Schizosaccharomyces pombe: one gene and its partners. The gene in region 3 interacts genetically with the main gene of each other region. Each region holds a gene or a part of one and is shown on either strand. Other genes may lie near its edges.

Region 1 (3,739 bases), on a different chromosome or scaffold from region 3:
ATATGATTGCTTTTGATGCATCTGGACGGATCAAGAAGTATGACAGTGTTGAAGATATTTTGACCGAGTTTTACGAAGTACGTTTAAGGACATACCAGAGACGTAAAGAGCATATGGTTAATGAATTGGAAAAAAGGTTTGATAGATTTTCAAATCAAGCGCGGTTTATTCATATGATTATAGAGGGGGAGCTTGTAGTTTCAAAAAAGAAGAAAAAGGATCTCATTGTGGAGCTGAAGGAAAAGAAGTTTCAACCTATCAGTAAACCAAAGAAAGGGCATTTGGTTGATTTAGAAGTTGAAAATGCTCTTGCTGAAGAAGAACAATCTGGTGATGTTTCGCAAGACGAGGATTCAGATGCCTACAATTACCTTCTTTCAATGCCTTTATGGTCTTTGACCTATGAACGGTATGTGGAACTTCTCAAGAAAAAGGACGAAGTAATGGCCGAACTGGATGCTTTGATTAAAAAAACTCCTAAAGAATTGTGGCTTCATGATTTGGATGCATTTGAGCATGCTTGGAATAAGGTTATGGATGATATTCAGAGAGAAATGTTAGAAGAAGAGCAATCCTCTAGAGATTTTGTAAATCGAACGAAAAAGAAGCCTCGAGGTAAATCCACTGGTACTAGGAAACCCAGGGCTATTGCCGGATCCTCCTCAAGTACTGCTGTTAAAAAAGAAGCTAGCAGCGAATCCAAACCATCTACAACAAATCGAAAGCAACAAACTTTACTTGAGTTCGCAGCGTCGAAAGAACCTGAGAAATCATCTGACATAAACATTGTCAAGACAGAGGATAACTCTCATGGCTTATCAGTTGAAGAAAATCGCATATCTAAGAGCCCGGGATTGGATAGCAGTGATAGTGGAAAATCAAGAAAAAGAAGTCAATCTGTTGACTCTGAAGACGCAGGTAGTAAAAAACCCGTCAAAAAAATAGCAGCCTCGGCGTCTGGAAGAGGAAGAAAGACTAATAAACCAGTTGCTACTACCATATTTTCTTCAGACGATGAAGATGATTTGTTGCCTAGCAGTTTGAAACCTTCCACCATAACATCCACGAAGGCTTCTGCGAAGAATAAAGGGAAAAAAGCAAGCTCGGTAAAGAAACAATCACCTGAAGATGACGATGATGATTTTATTATTCCAGGTAGTAGTTCAACTCCAAAAGCTAGTTCGACTAACGCAGAGCCACCAGAAGATTCAGATTCTCCGATTAGAAAGAGGCCAACCAGAAGAGCAGCGGCTACAGTGAAAACACCTATTTACGTTGATCCCTCGTTTGATAGCATGGATGAACCCAGCATGCAAGATGATTCTTTTATCGTCGATAACGATGAGGATGTAGACGATTATGATGAGAGTGATTAGCTTCTAAAATTTGGTGTTTTCAAACGCTATTTACAGTACAATCTGAAAAAATTGGATGAACATTGTAAATGGTAGGATACGAGTTCCAATTAATGTATTTTTTAAGTATTACACTTAGCTTATTAATTTTATATATACATTCTACCTCTGTGGGTTTAAAGACAACTCGTACACATACTCAAATTATTTATGAACATTATAATGCATATTCGTACTGTCTATTAAACATTTTTTTGACATTAAAAATTTCGTTTACTAACGTAGAAAGCGCTGATAATTGAGGCTACTATTTTAATATCTAGAAACAAAGATTCATTAATTAATTAAGTAAGCTCCAGGATACTTGTATATTTCGTTAAAAAAGCGCAATTTCAACAATTCCTATGAACATCCATGATTTCATCACAAAATCAAACATATCAGGATTTAACGTGAATTATTTGCTTTCTTGTGATTTTCATCTGATTTCTGGTCATTTACGTTACTGTAAACAAGCTTTTTAAAAAAAGGATTTTTTACGCAATATTATCGATATCCCAATCTGTAGTATAAAAAGTGCAACAGTGTTGAGTTTCCCGAAACCAGGCATTTTTGCGGTAGGGTCTGAAACTTTCACGAAACCATTTCACAACAAAACTTCTTCAACAACATGTGTGCAAAGAAAATCGTCGTCTTACCAGGAGACCATATTGGCCCTGAAATTGTTGCTTCTGCCTTGGAGGTTTTGAAAGTCGTTGAGAAGAAGCGACCTGAGTTAAAACTCGAGTTTGAAGAACACAAGATTGGAGGTGCCTCTATTGATGCCTATGGAACCCCTTTGACTGACGAGACTGTGAAGGCTTGTTTGGAAGCTGACGGTGTTCTTTTGGGTGCCGTTGGTGGTCCTGAATGGACCAACCCCAATTGTCGTCCTGAGCAAGGTTTATTGAAGCTTCGTAAGAGTATGGGTGTTTGGGCCAACCTTCGACCTTGCAACTTTGCCAGCAAGTCTTTAGTCAAGTACAGCCCTTTGAAGCCTGAAATCGTTGAAGGTGTCGATTTTTGTGTTGTACGAGAACTTACTGGAGGTTGTTACTTTGGTGAGCGCACTGAGGACAACGGATCGGGTTATGCTATGGACACTTGGCCTTACAGTTTGGAAGAAGTTTCTCGTATTGCTCGTTTGGCTGCTTGGTTAGCTGAAACTTCCAACCCTCCTGCTCCCGTCACATTACTCGACAAAGCTAATGTTTTGGCAACTTCTCGTCTTTGGCGCAAGACTGTAGCTAAGATTTTTAAGGAGGAATATCCTCACCTTACCTTAAAAAACCAGCTCATTGACTCCGCAGCCATGCTTTTGGTCAAGAGCCCTCGTACACTTAACGGTGTTGTTTTGACTGACAACTTGTTTGGTGACATTATTTCAGATGAGGCTTCTGTCATTCCTGGTAGCTTGGGCCTTTTGCCTTCTGCCTCCCTTTCCGGTGTGGTAGGAAAATCAGAAGAAAAGGTTCATTGTTTGGTTGAGCCCATTCACGGTAGCGCTCCCGATATCGCTGGCAAGGGCATTGTTAATCCTGTTGGTACAATTTTATCTGCTTCCCTTCTCCTTCGTTATGGTTTGAATGCTCCTAAGGAGGCTGAAGCTATCGAAGCCGCCGTACGCAAGGTCTTGGATGATACTTCAATTGGTGGACGTGGTCTTTATACTCGCGATTTGGGAGGTGAGGCTTCTACCGCTGATATTACTAAGGCTGTTGTTGAAGAACTTGAAAAAATTTTGTAATAGGGTTTAATGTAGAATAAATTCATATGATTTGATTTGACCTAATTTTTATTGATTAATTGTGTCGCATATTTATTATCGTTAAAAATGCAATTGACAAAAGCGTAAATTTTAAGGCTCTAATGTTTTTTCTTTTGGTATGTTATAGTCAAGCAAAGATGTATTAAGTTGCAAAAGCATGGAATTGATTTACGACATCCGTTCAACTTTATGACCGAGTTGTCGCTGTGTACTTACTCTTTTTTTACTATGAAAAGTTTCAAACATAATATCATTAATTATTTCTTTTTAAACGAAGTAACCTGTAACATAAATAATAGGGGAAAAGAAGAAAAAAACCATAAAAATTCGAGAACGTAACAATTATTATTGTAACGATGACAACCCGATTCTTTGAGAGAGCCAGAGACATGACTTTTGCATTACCGTAATTGGTTTCTACTTATGAATTGTAAACTTGTGTAGGGAATTTCATCCACAGCTATCGCGGGCTGCTCTCTGCATCAGTGTTAGCACATTTTATATTAATGAAGATTTTGCTATGCAAAATACGTACATTTCTGGCGCATATATTTTTATCAAACGAACATGACTATCC
Region 2 (4,523 bases), 4.6 Mb from region 3:
GACACCGTAGAAAGGGTGCGCTTTTTACGGAAATTCATTGAAAATGACTTTGAAAAAATGAAACGCCTTTTCAAAATTTACGATCGCTTGAGAATCCAACTCAAAGGTATTGACCAAAGCAGAAAACTTGATTTTAGTCCTGATTCGGAGGAAAAGAGTACCAAATGGTTTCTCCAACAAATTGATCATGGACTGTTTCCTTTCCAATCTACAGTTCTTATCCTTTCGTGGTTATGCGTTGAAAATACAGTGACATTGAAAAAAATTAAGATGCTGTTTTCCGAAGCATCCATTCCAATTGATGAGTTGACTGATGCTCTAAAAAATTATCATGAAAACCTTGAAGAACCGACGGTGGAGTCCGAAGAGGTGGAGGCCAACGACTCTTACTACAGAATTGACGAAAAACCTATGGTTACTGTTTTACTTGGATCTATGCAAGCATCTGTGTAATAAAATCATGACTTGTTCTGATAACATATTTTCAATTTAATGAGTTGTACATTTGTTATTATGGAACATAAAGAGTGTTTGGTATTATAGAATTATATATATTTTTAAACAAAAAAACTAAAAATTAAACACTAGCAGTTCTTGATATGCCAGCATATTTGGAAGGCACAAAAGATATTCGTGTAAAAAATTAAAAGGTGAAATGTATATGTTATAATCAATAAAACTTCGGAATAGACGTTTCGATGATAATAAATGTAAATGATTAATCGGCTAAGTGTGAATACTCAGTTTCACGAAGTTTTTTCTGGAAAAACTTTTCCAATCTATCGGCATTTTTATAGTAAGTCGTGTTGGAGTCATTGTAAGAACGGCAATTATCAAATATATATTTTGCATCCCGAATAAATTCCTCTACAGACTCATACTGGTTGTTACGCAACCGAAATTCCATAGTCGAAAGGTCCATGGGGTGTTCAATAACTTCGTAATAATCGGGTACATCCTCTTTACTAACCGGTTGCATAAAGGGCCAGGAAGACGGATGATTTTGCATTTCTGTAAAAAGCATTTCCAAAACGGCAAAAAAAGGTTTAGGTCTGGGCTTTTTGGAGAGCTCTTCCATTTCCTTGCACCATCCAACTTCCATCAACCCAGGAACTTGAGACGGCTCTATATGAGCTGGACCATCTTTGAATACGTCTAAACCAGGATAAACAACGTTCGACCGAGTGATCCTGTTAATTTTGGAAACAACAGCAGCTTTCTGAATAGCCAAAATCAGATTAGCTTCTAAATACTTTATTTTTGGAATCATGGTGCATTGCATAAGTGTGCCACCTTCGTAATCCTTAATATAGCCAACCCATATAGACTTGTCAAGAGTAATTTCCTTAGTAAATCCTTGTTTTTTAAAATACCCGATTGCATAGTTATCTGCATATGTCAAGAAGTGCTGAATTGTAGTAGTTCCACGGACATAATCCTTTAAATGATTCATTAAATGAGAACCATAACCACGAACCTGTTCATTGGAAGCAATCGCACAAAATACAATTTCGGCAAATCCTCGTTGTTCAAATGGACGATAAGTAATACCGCCCACTACATGTAAATTATCTTTGACAATGGTCATTGAAAGATGGTTTCGATCATAAATTAGCCGCGTAATGTATTCTTTTGGCATTTTAGGAAGTTGTTTCATAAATATGTTTTTTAAACCAGTCAACATGATCATACTGTCGGCGGTGTCGTCGTTAGAAACAACACGAAATTGAATAACGCCGCTTTTTTCTTCTAATACAGATGGCTTTTCAGTAACTCGTACACTACTAATATCAAAATCAACATCTAAATCTGTAGCCACGAGCTTTCTCTTTTTAGAATTTGAAACTCCGTTAGGTACGAAATGAGAGGATGAGCTTTCCGTATCCTTGTTTTCCTTTACAGCTAAAGATTCTTGTCCATCGGAATTAGCAATTGCTTCGCGAACATTTGGATTGGATTGTTCGTCCTGTTTTACCGGTTTATCATGTACACTATCGTTTGACGCATTTGGAAAGTTGGAAGATGTACTGTCTACAACACTTGAATCGGGTGGTCGTGTTTGATCATTTAACGAATTCGACATGATTATTCTATGCCACGCATCCAAACAAATAAATCCAAAAAGTGAAGATACAGAAATTGTCAAGAACGATACAAGATGAAACGAGCACGAAAAAACGGTATATAATAACGAAATACAGAAAATTAAAATAAACGATAATTTGTTAAAATATACACCACGAACCCAGTTATTTGTCTCGAAAATTTTGTTTTTGGCACCAACAATGTGAAAAGACGTCGACCAGCCCTTTACCTTTCTAAAACTTAAGGAAACTCGGCAGGGATTCTCTTAGAAAAAGAACCTCTTTTTATAGAAAGAGTTTGAACACAAGTCAACCGAAAATGACCGTATCAAGGAGAATTTTTTAATCTATAAAAAAAATCTCAGATTTGCGCTCCAAAATACAATCAATTTTTTAATACTTCAAATCAACGATTATCCTAATATTTACTAATTAAAGACACAAATACATGATTTGACTTGGGATGCAAGATTAGAAAATTTCTTCTCTACGAATTTTCTGCTTTCATTTTTTGAAGTTATTGGTGTTGCTTCTAAATATAGAGACGCACCGTAGTTCGTTAGCAATACCTCTTTTTGTGATGATATTCTTTTATGTATTTAGCGATAAAGCTAACGAAAATATTTTCTGTGATATTACACTAACTGTGAGGCTTAGTCTACGTACTAATGGAGTGACTCTGCTAAAACGAATATTTTGGATTTAACTCGAATTATTCATTATAATATCCAACTTCTTTTCTTTTTTTTTAAAGAAGATTTTAAGACTCTTAACGTGAGATGTTCCTCTTCTTGCCGATACCGCTGAATGTTCAAGACATATGGAAAGTCAATAGCAAATATAAGCACGTCTTACTGACATGTCCTGTATGGTATGAAATCAATGAATTAGTGTTAAAACAAGTGGATTGAGTACATTGTTTAAATGGCGAAGTGGAAATGGAACAATTGTAGAAACATTTTGTTTTCAGAAATTACGCACTTGTTTTTTATTAAAATTTGTCATTTAAAAATAGTTTCTAGCAGTCTTCTTGTTTTCCTTCTATTCTTTTCATCAGCACTTTTTGCTAATACTTTCTTTTTAGCCAAAATAAAACTGGTATGAGACACATATAAGTGGTGTAGTTGCATGAAGGCAATTGCTCTTTCTTTGGGTTGTTTTATTAATGTTAACGTAAAACTTTGGTTTTTAGTTCGGGTATATCGTTTGGTTAAATCTTTAGCACTCATCGTTTTGCCTGTTCTCCCGGTTTATACGAGTAAGGTAAGGGAATTCAAGAAAGCATATGTTATGTAGTTGACCCTTTCTACTTATCATTGTTTGGAAACCTGACAGACCTTGTTTGTTATTTTCTAAGCCATTCTTCAATCTTCAATGTTACATGCTTTCCAGGGAAAGTTGGGATTATTTTGCTGTCCAACTAATAAGCACTCACTTGCTAACTCAGAGCAGGTACTTCGTTGTTCTCATTGTGGGTGGTATGAACCAGTAGATTCGGCCATGATTGATCAAAGGCGCAGGCGTGAAGATCTTCCTACTCCCGAAAGACCTGAGGCGAGTGCTCAACAGCATGCATTTTTTCCTGGCTCAAGTTCGCAACAAACCGATATTCCTAACGTTCGTCCTCAACCACATATACCGCCTCCAAGAAAAAGTGATGAGGCACCACCCCCTTACAGCTACAAGTAATGTTCTACCTTAATTCTATTTATTGTTCTACCGTTTCTAATGCTTCCCTGATGAAGCTTTCTAAGCATGTTTGGTAATATTTATTGTGCATACTATATGACTGGATATGATAGATAATAATGGCTAATTTTTTTTTTTGATTAATAGAATACAGAAGAGTTTTAATTCATAAATATTATTCATATAATCTAACTCGTAAGGCACAGCCTTTTTAAATGGTTTCCGGCGAGGAAGGAAGCTAATAAACCAAAGGATAAAAACCTATCTAAAGCATCTCATTAGATCTTTTTAATTGTCCCGATATAATAAACTATTATAGTGAGCGCCAAGCCCAAACAAATGCTGGTAATATGCTATACACAACGGTTTTTCGAACTTGACCGTTGAGGGGTTAAACTTTAAAACTGGACCTTCTGTGTTGTAGACATGAACAGGAACCTCAAGAGAGTTTGCTAATGCCTGTATTTCAATATCACTTCCCCATTTGCTATTGTTTCGAATTTCGTTACAATAATCGGATACTGGCAAAACTTCTCCAGATTCTTCGTCTAGCAAAAAGCCTTCAAACTGTTCGCAGTGCTTTAATACATAATCAGCGGATTTATTACGAAGAGCTTGGCTATTTAGTTTAACATTATGATGATAATTTAACTGATGTGAAATGGAAGCAAATAAACAATTTCCATCCGCTGGTATATCGACTGCAACAAGTCCAGCTTCCTCAAGGATTTTTGAAAACTTTTTTTTCTC
Region 3 (9,734 bases):
TTGCTCTCCCCTTAGTATTTCTTAGTGTCTGAAGAGTTATAAGGATTCGTGTTAATATTAACAGTTTTCTTGAATTTTTCAGATGTTCAATTTCACGGAGCATTGCTTTCAAGTCTTGATTCTTGAAGTATGTTAACGAAATATCTTACTCATTGGCTTTTGACTATAGTTAACCTGTTTCTCTCGTTTTTGGGTGCTTTTTACTATAAGAGAAATACTGGAATTTTTCAGTTTCTTGGAATTTTTATATTGATTAAATATCTAGTCATTGTCAAAATAGATATTACGTTACATATTTAAACTAGTAATTAGTAAGGCCGAAGTATCACGAAAAGTCACTTTTATGATAAAATTAAACTATAGAATGTATTCGTCTATATGAATTCTGGACCTTAATAGTTTTCTATATGAGTAATTTAAAATAAGATTGTACCTTTCTCTGATTAGGCGACATTTAGAACTTATCCTCTCTAGCTACGTGCTTCTGAAGATTGTTCAATATCGACCTAAATACAAAGCAATTAATGAGTCAGTTTATAAATTAAATCAATTAGAAGGTGAATATTACTTGTTGAGTGAAAATAGTGGGTATTCAATCAAGAAATTGAGCACCGCAAAGCTTCATATTAAGATTCTCTACATGAGGCCAGTCGCTTCTTGAGCCAAAGGTCCTTCAGTTTTCCAAACTTCACAATTTTTGAAGTCTTTACTAACAAGGTTTATCTAGAAGAAAAATACACCTGTTTCAAAGTCATACTAAGAACAGGAATAATAAATTTAACTAATCATTAGGGTCTAGTGTCATTTCTCCAACATTTCGGTTTTATTGTAAACGTGGAGTTTCATTAGATTGCTTTGAAATTACTCGACCTTTATTCTGCATCGATAAATTAGAACGTAGTGTATATACTTGGCATACTATCTCGATTTACTATTCTTACTTTCTTAGAGCGTGCATTTTTAATAGAAGAAAAGAATAACTGAAGATGAAAGTAGGTCGTTTTTTAGTCATAATTGCTTTTTGTTTTTATGTTCTTTATCTCGAGAAAATTATTCATACAAGGCCACATAAAAAGTGCGATTGGCGGTCTTGGGAGCAATGGGAGAGTACTGGGAATCCAGTAAGGATTGCATTGGTTGCGGATCCTCAATTAGTTGACGATTTGACTTATGATTATCCTCGACCTTTAATTGGAATCGTTAAATGGATTTCCGACCAGTTTCTTCGTCGGCATTGGCGTTATCTTCATAAATCACTGAAGCCAGATATTACTTTCATAATGGGCGATTTGATGGACACAGGTAGAGAATTCGCAACTGAAGAATTTAAAAAAGATTATTTCAGAATGATGAACGTCCTTGACCCAAAATTCACCAATAAATTGGAAATCTACCCTGGCAATCATGATATTGGATTTGGTAATCACGCTATTGTTAAGGATATTCAAAGATTTGAATCTCTTTTTGGTCCAACATCTCGATCAATAGACGTTGGCAATCATACACTGGTTATTGTAGATGGAATTCGTTTATCAAACAACGTCAATCCCCAAGTTTATCAACCGGCTAGAGACTTCTTAAAAAGCTTTGAAACAAATAAGGACAACTCGAGACCTAGGATCCTTCTATCTCACGTTCCTTTGTTTCGCCCTGCCATCAATTCTTGCGGGGAGCTTCGTGAAAAAGATGATGTTATCAAATATGGTTTGGGATATCAGTATCAAAACTTGCTTTTGCCAGAACTTTCCGAGTCTATTTTAAAAGCTGTTGAACCAATTGCCGCATTTGCTGGAGACGATCACGATTATTGCGAAGTTGTGCATAATTACCAGGTGGATACTCGAGAAGCAGCCACCACGGAATATAATGTGAAGGCATTTTCTATGACCAGCGGCATACTATATCCGGGATATCAACTTCTCTCATTGAACTATCCTTATGACAACCCTAAAGCCGATCAAAAAAGTTCTTATCAGACAAAGTTATGCATTCTTCCTAACCAAATTCAAATTTATGTTTGGTATGGTGCTTCTATATCCATCTTTTTTGCTCTTATATTATTGAGGACTGCTATCTTTTTTTTTGGAACTGACCGTTATAGCCTCCCACTTTACAAAACTCATGCACGCCGATTTTCATTGTCAACAACAATTCATTTGTTTAAAAAAATTGTGCGCATAACCCTTTCTACATTCATCTCATATACATGGATACCGTTTCTTTTATTCATCTTCCTTAACATCTTCATTATCTGATCTATAAATAATATTTAAGATTAAATAAAAAAAATTAATTAATGATGGCAAGGCACAATCGTAATCAATCTTTTAATTTAGGACTTTTTATATGCCCTTATGGCTCATAAATAACTAGTAAAGTCCGAAAAATTCGTGCCATTTTGAAGCTTGGTCTTTGTTTGCTCGTCGAGATTGTAGTCTTCTGGTAAAACTGAAGCTTGAAATTTTTCGCGTAATCTTTTTAACTGTCGTAATCTTTCAGCCCATATATGAACATAATCACCAGCACTGCGATGATATATATGTGAAAAAACGGCAGCGTTCAGAGTTACATCACGAACAATTGCCGGTAATGCATCGCTTGAAACAATTTTGTAACGACGGAATAAGCTAAAGTCAATATCATATTTGGTCAACGCTTTAACTTTATAAAATTTAATTTGACGCCCTGTTCTTCTGATAGATTCGGATTCAGGGGTAATAACAATGTTCACAAAGTTGAACTGACTAGGAATTGTATCAAAGTCGTACTCTAAACCAGATTCGTTGAATATAATAGTAACAAAGTCATTTCCAATATGACGCTTCTTTAATGTGCACCCAGGGTCATGTTCTATATTAGTTGGCATCATTGTAGTGCAATGGAACACCATTTGGGTAACTTTATCTTTCCAACAATACGCAAACGCACCGTCTATATCATTTTCCCTATCTAAACCACCAGCGAAAACTTTTTGATCTGTTTTTAATTCGAATAATGTGCCCAGACCGTTAAGAAAAGTAAGGAAATCTTCAGAAGGATTTGTATTTGCCAATATGTCTGCTTCTCGACGCTGTTGGTACCCAACGTACACAAGACCAGCCTTCAGTGATTCAATTACAGGAATACGGTCAAAAACACTTATAGCCCTACGCACAGAATCATCATTAGAGGGAAGCAGAAGAGGCTGATTGTATAAAGAAATACCATGTGGATCCAAGAAATGAGAGACAAAGCTGCTAGGAGTACACAAAAGCCCCCTCGTAAGAGCCTTTGAACTTGTGAGATTTTCCTCCCATAAAAACTTTTGCAGACTTGCTTCATTTCGAAAAGTATACTGCGTAGTACCTGTCGGGCGACGAATGACAGCTTCTAAGAATCCAGAGTTTACCGACACGTTTATCGTAAAGAGTGAATTACCACGAATCCAAGTTTCACTTTCCACGTCTGAGTCAACAAAAGTAGATGTTTGGTTATTGATGTCGGAATTAGAATAGCAAAATTGTTGCATCATGTCATATTGAACAAGACATAAATCTTCCAATGGTTTACCTTCAGAAGCAAGCTTCAGTCCACGCAATATCCAAGGTACGAATTTTTTACGCTCAGTTAATCTTAACGAAAGAAACCATATTTGTAACACGCTATAGGCTAGAGCTAGAACGTATGATGAGTAAGAGTTTTTTAATATGCTCTCCGTATCATTTGAATCTTTCGACTCCTTAGTGAAATCTCTGTGCTGAATGTATTTCAAAGCAATTGCAAAAATTTGTCTATAGTCAGCATCCGTAAAGTTTGCAATAAGATCAGGTAATCTTGCTAAACTGCATAAAAATTCTAAAATGTGAACGCTCAAATCAGGTTTGGTGATTAACCTTGACAAAGTGACTAAAATTGCAGGTAACTGCTTTCGAATTGAAACGGGTAATTCATAACAGCATAACATAAGTGAATGAATAGAAACATGACATGCTTCGTTCCATTTTTGCAACCCTGCAAAAAAAACGCTGACTAATTCATCTTCCTGAGCCCTGCTGAATTGATCATGATAAACAAAAAGCATTTGTACGTTTTGCAAGATTGGTATCATGATGTTGGCCTTACGAATATTAGAAGGAATTTCAGCAGATATAGAAACTCTTTCAAAAACGATATCACACATAAAATCAAGTAAATTATAGATTTCTTCTAATGCGCCGATAAACATACTCCTATTACTTATTTGATCAGCAAGGTGGGTAATCATGAACATAAGGATAGTCCAGTTAGACTCTGTAGCCATGGATTTTCGATAAAACCTTAACAAGGAAGACGTTGGGAACGTTACAAAGTCCTTGCCATATTCTGTAGAATGATTTGAAATTTTAATCAAATCGTTTTCTTTTCGTTCCCAAATATGCTTTTCTACTGTTGCTGAGTTAACAAAAGAATCAGAAATGGGATAAACTGCAGGAATCAGTTCTGAATCAACGTTTAAGACTTTGAAGGGTTCATTCAAATCTATATTCTCACATATATAAATAGACGTCCCATTTGCTCGAAATCGAAGAAAGAATTGTAAACACAACATTCGAGAAACAAAAGGGAAAGATGGAGTCTCCAAGATTTCTAACATTTTAGCCAGTGTTTCTTGAATAGGCACAGCATCCCTTAAGTCATAATAATAATAAAAAAGACGAATTAATGTACTCGTGGCAAGTCTGCGAACAGTAACAGAGCTCGTGTCGGAAATTAGCTGTTGAAAAATATGATCGATACAATCCTTAAGTCCCGGGTTTTGAAAATTGACAGACAAGAAAAACAACATATTATATACAGGAGAAACAACACAATCATCAGATTCCTTAGAAAAGCTTTCAATTACTGGAAAAAGGAATTTCGAACACAAAATGGGGGCCGAATTTTCATCAGCAACAGAGCAAGCATCTTCCACAAGCTTAAATAAAAGAGCTCGATCTTCAAGATCAAATGTTTTGCATTGGTAAATACCAAGTAAAAATTCAAGGTTGAATACCCAATATTGATTGCAAGGAAATATAAGATTGTAAGTCTCAAAAAGACGTAAAAGTTTTTTTCGAATTTTCGGCTTTAACACTGGAAGAACATCCTTCAAAAAGAATACCAGCTTAACCTGAAATTGTTGCAGCAGTGGAATCAAGGCTTCGAAATCCAAAAAATCCAAAACACGATCATATATATTAGCAAATGCTGCAGTCTTCGAAAATGCTTCCTTCGATGTACTAGCTTTCAAAGGTAGATATTGTGAACAATACATTAAAATATTAAGAATCCGATGCCAATCCAAAAAATTAAGGCGATTTAATATAGAAGGTGTACGTAAAAAAAGATACACAGTACCAAGGATCTCAAAATCAACATTCTCATTAAATCCTAATGGAAACTCAGTAAATTCAATACTTGAACTTAAAGTTATAGAAGCTATTGCATCATTTTTCACTTCTTGCAGCATGAGAAAACGCATTAAACGCACAGCGCCCCGTACAGCATTAACATTCGAGCGATTGTATTGAAGTATATTAAATACGTTTTCAAAAGCCAGATTTGACACGGGACTACTAATAAGATTAAATATAACAGATTGTGCAAGTTTCGAATATGAGTAGGTGCTGATGTATGTGCTACACAAAATAAGAACAGTATCATACAGTGAAGCTTTTGGAATAACCGAGTAGCGAATCATGGAATCAAAAAACATCAGAACCTCAGTAACCACATCTTCTAAGCGAGCGTGATTACATATTTGTACCACGGAATTAACAAGCTGTAGCATTTGAGGTTCAGGCACTAGGAACCACTGAAATTTTACTAAGTTGGTAGAAAACTTAAAAAGGCTTTTAAAAAAAAGCAAATGTACGAGCTTTGAATCTGCGTCTTTGCCTTGCAATTCAGTTGCTTGAGATTGCCATTGAAGATACTGGTTAAACCATGCACTCAACAAAGGACCAACCCTATTCTCAATACCGGAGATTTTGTGCCCTTCATCCGTTAAAACACTCAAACTCTTAAGCCGAAGCTGTAATTCAGCAATATCTTGAAAAGGATCTTTCTCAATAGTTTGAAAAAAAGTGTGGCGCTCTATAATCGAGAGATGCTTTTGTGTAGAAACATATCTCATCATAAGATTGTATACAAGCTCCCGAAAAGCAGCATTATCGTTTTTGGTGGAGATAAAATCCTGAATATTTTGCCATACTTGAATGATAGAAGTCGATGAATATATATAGTATTTTAAGCCATGGTAAATACTCCTTACAATCTGATGCCTTTTTTTAAAAGGAAGGTTAGCATCAAAATATGATAGAATGTCTGTATCTTTGATAGCAGGCTCACTAGAAAGATCCAAAAGTGATTTATTGTTCATCTATGTGGCCTTTATTTTTCAACGTCAATAAATTAGGACCTTCAGCAGAATAACCACATAAAGCAAATCTGAACTCTTAACTTAATGGAATATTCAAGATCATAAACTATGAGCATGGAAGTTGATTTCAAGTATTAGCTACACTGGTAGGGGTGGGGAGGAGAGCTGACAGGCTGCTATGAATTAGGGGAAGCATTACCTTATCTAAGAGGAATAGGTTGAAACGACATTAAAACTAATAAATAGAAACTTAGTATTCGACATTCAAAATTCAAAAAATATATGAAGTTATTTAACCGTAAAAACCAATTGCTAAGTAGCTAGGTCGCGCAAACATATACATAACTTGAAGGGTCTATTAAATATATACAAAAGTTGGGATTTAATAGTTAATGAAATACTATGGATAAAATCAGAGTTTCGGTTGTCGGGGATTGTATGGAAGTATCAAAAATTAAAAAAAGGGAATTGAAATGATTCAAGAATTAGCAAAAACATCTGGTCGGCTTGACTTGATAGAAAAATTCCGACCAAAATAAGCCGCAAGTTTGAAGGGTTACAAAATCGGTTATGAATTTTTATAAAATAAAGGAAAAAAGACTTGCCAAGAAGCGAGTCTCACAATGGTCAATGGGCATTATTGGCAAATGAAGAATTAAAAAATTAAGTAGGTTTCGGACATTGTCATTCAATGCTATAAATGAAACATCGCTAGTTCTTACAGATCCTCATAAGACCAAATTCTTGCTCGTAAGTCACCACTACCAGTAGCAAAGCAATGGCCATTCGGGCTAACAGCAACCGATATTACTGAGTTATTGTGTCCCTGGAGAGTTAACTGAGAATGAGGAGAATCGGGGGACCAAAATTGGATGGTTCGGTCTTTCGAGCCGCTAATAATCCATTTTCCATCCGGAGAGACAGTGACACTTAGAATAAAATCTTTATGTCCAGTAAAAGTTTGCTTGCAAATACCGCCTTCCTTATACATGCTGGGTGCAACGTTGGAGACGCATTGCAACTCCCATAACTTAATTGTGTTATCCAAACTTCCACTAACCAGGTATTTTCCGTCAGGAGAGAAGGCAACGCTGTAAACACTCTCTTCATGACCATGAAGCTGCTCTACTAAAGTTCCGGACGATGTCCAAATCCTAATTACCTTATCTAAAGAACCTGCAGCAATAAATTGACCGTCGGGAGAAAACATTACTGTAGTAACACCATCATCGGTATGCAAAATTAGTTTTTGCTCGCCAGCTTCAACATCCCAAAGACAAACAGTTCTATCTCCACTACCAGAAACCAATGTTTTTCCATCTTTGCTAAAATCAAGGGAATAAATTTCTTGCTCATGCCCAGTCAGTAGACGATAAACACGTTTTTGAGCGATGTCCCATATTCTGATTTGTTGATCTTCGACACCAGTAGCAAGGTATTTACCATCAGGACTAAATGCTACACTGCGAACATATAAATCACCTTCACGCTTCGAAGATTCCTCCTGCAGAAGCGTAATTAATTTACCGGTCTCCACATTAAAAACCATAGCTGCTCTGTTACAACCCGTAGCCAAAAATTTTCCATCGGCACTAAACCTTACATAACAAATAACGCTTGTGTGTTCCAGTGTATGAAGTAGTTGAACAGAGATCGGGGGTTCTTTGTTAGGTACATTGCTAGTGACAGTCCAATCTTTCTCCTCTCTATTAGGCACATTGGATGTCGGAATAATTTCAGCAGGATAAGGAGGATTACCTGAGACTTTTCCGTTTACAACCAAAGGAGCAGCGATAGGTGTGACGGAAGAATTAGCTGAGTCAGATGGAGGTGGAGGATGTCCGAGCGGTAAATTGGAAGGAAATGCTGTGAATGGTAAGTAAGAAAATCCAAATTAAAACGAGGAAGCAAAATAGTTTCGGCAATAGTATTTTGTTTTACAAAAAATGAACAAAAGCCGCAAGGAATTCAAACGAATTAATGACAGCATTAAAAAATTGTCTGGGAACATACGGTGTACAACATACCAGATGCAAACAATAAAGTGAAAGACAAAAAGTATCTATAAACTTGATCAAGTCAAAAAACAAATGCTGTTGCCAAAAGCTACAATGCAAGCTTGAACTTACTTCGCATAGCAGATCCAGCCATGGTTGCACCCACAGCAGGGCGTACATGAGGACTGGAATAATATTGTGAACCAAGATCTACGTTCGAGGTCTGAATAGGAGCTAAAACAGTACCATCTGAATCAATGGCAGGTGATCGAAGATTTTTAGGAGTTCCTCCAGAAGAACCGTTATTAAGTATCAAAGGTTTCGAGGAGTTGTCCGAGTTAAAAGGGCCCGCATTTCCATATTTTCCAAAAGAAACGCTATTGCGCCCGTGTTTAGTTTTCGAAGACTGTGGGACGACGCCAGAAGCAATTTCTTTGCGTCTAGCTTCCAGTTGAGCTTTTAAGGAGGTGATTTCTTCTTCGTAACTAGAGAGAGTTAGTAACAAGAAAGATAGCTTTCGAGAAAATATAATATAAAATTGAGAATAAATGTTCACATAGCAGAAGGCATGCTGGTGCTGACAAAAGTGTGAAAAGGACAGAGAATCTTCGAACAGTGATAAACATCCAAATACTGAGTAAAAAACGAAATACCCTTCATCGGAGTAAAAATATGAAAAGATTACTTAATAGAATTTACTCCCATCAAAGGAGCCACCATTATTTAGCATCTTTAAAGATTTATCGTCAACGACCGTAAATTGTATAAATATTTAGAGAGGAATCGCTTTTGTAAGACTCTACAACACTCACAATAATTGCATAACCTTGTACTAATATAACAAACCTTCTCGCCAAGCGTGTATTAGGAAAATTGACATACCGATCCTTCACTTTAGACTGCTGCATCTCCAAATCCATAACGGTTTGTTTCATGAGCGCCATTTCATTAATTTGTGCAGATATCATTGCTAATTTAAGAAGTGTTAGATTTGTACCGCAAATTTGTCAGCAAATTCTTGTATAAGATACCTTTATATTCAAAATCATCCTTTTGAGCTTCAACGGTTTTAGTTTTTTGACAAATATCTTCAAATTCCTTTTTAACCGCTTCTAAAAGCTCATTTACACGTGATGATACATTGGACGTCGCCATAAATTGAAACTTGAAGATGGTAAAAGTGAATTGGCGGACAGTAATCATGAATGATGTTGTTTGAGAAATAACGAGAAATAACATTCGTTAATTTCGGTAAAACCTTCTCGGCTTCGAAGCTAAAGTAAGCAAACTATGTTGAGATTAACATGTCAGGAAAGACAATTTCACTTATGCTTAGCGAGACAATATTGTTGAATTAG

Evidence for each region. A genetic interaction does not mean that the proteins touch.
Region 1: mutations in tsc2 (region 3) and leu1 are lethal when combined (synthetic lethality), as found in Schizosaccharomyces pombe (2 studies listed by BioGRID, with this or other methods).
Region 2: of tsc2 (region 3) and gcn5, a mutation in one rescues a mutant of the other (synthetic rescue), as found in Schizosaccharomyces pombe (2 studies listed by BioGRID, with this or other methods).

The regions. Positions count from the first base shown.
Region 1 is NC_003423.3:1,973,890-1,977,628, reverse strand, and holds leu1 (3-isopropylmalate dehydrogenase Leu1), read left to right. Parts: upstream 1-1,954; 5' UTR 1,955-2,025; coding exon 2,026-3,141; 3' UTR 3,142-3,239; downstream 3,240-3,739. Other genes in the region: top2 (DNA topoisomerase II), read left to right, coding at 1-1,376; anaphase-promoting complex substrate recognition subunit Apc10, read right to left, coding at 3,564-3,639, 3,698-3,739. UniProt on the Schizosaccharomyces pombe protein: Catalyzes the oxidation of 3-carboxy-2-hydroxy-4-methylpentanoate (3-isopropylmalate) to 3-carboxy-4-methyl-2-oxopentanoate. The product decarboxylates to 4-methyl-2 oxopentanoate.
Region 2 is NC_003424.3:4,971,676-4,976,198, reverse strand, and holds gcn5 (SAGA complex histone acetyltransferase catalytic subunit Gcn5), read right to left. Parts: upstream 2,576-4,523; 5' UTR 2,084-2,575; coding exon 719-2,083; 3' UTR 501-718; downstream 1-500. Other genes in the region: SPOM_SPAC1952.06C (uncharacterized protein), read left to right, coding at 1-453; SPOM_SPAC1952.04C (uncharacterized protein), read left to right, coding at 2,864-2,955, 3,169-3,182, 3,277-3,347, 3,537-3,773; OUT family ubiquitin-specific cysteine protease Otu2, read right to left, coding at 4,062-4,523.
Region 3 is NC_003424.3:367,586-377,319, forward strand, and holds tsc2 (Rheb GAP, tuberin Tsc2), read right to left. Parts: upstream 6,547-9,734; 5' UTR 6,380-6,546; coding exon 2,360-6,379; 3' UTR 2,256-2,359; downstream 1-2,255. Other genes in the region: SPOM_SPAC630.12 (lipid phosphatase), read left to right, coding at 987-2,255; transcriptional corepressor Tup12, read right to left, coding at 7,098-8,245, 8,509-8,861, 9,259-9,346, 9,408-9,531. UniProt on the Schizosaccharomyces pombe protein: Together with tsc1, required for uptake of various amino acids from the environment and for proper conjugation. Involved in induction of gene expression of permeases and genes required for meiosis upon nitrogen starvation.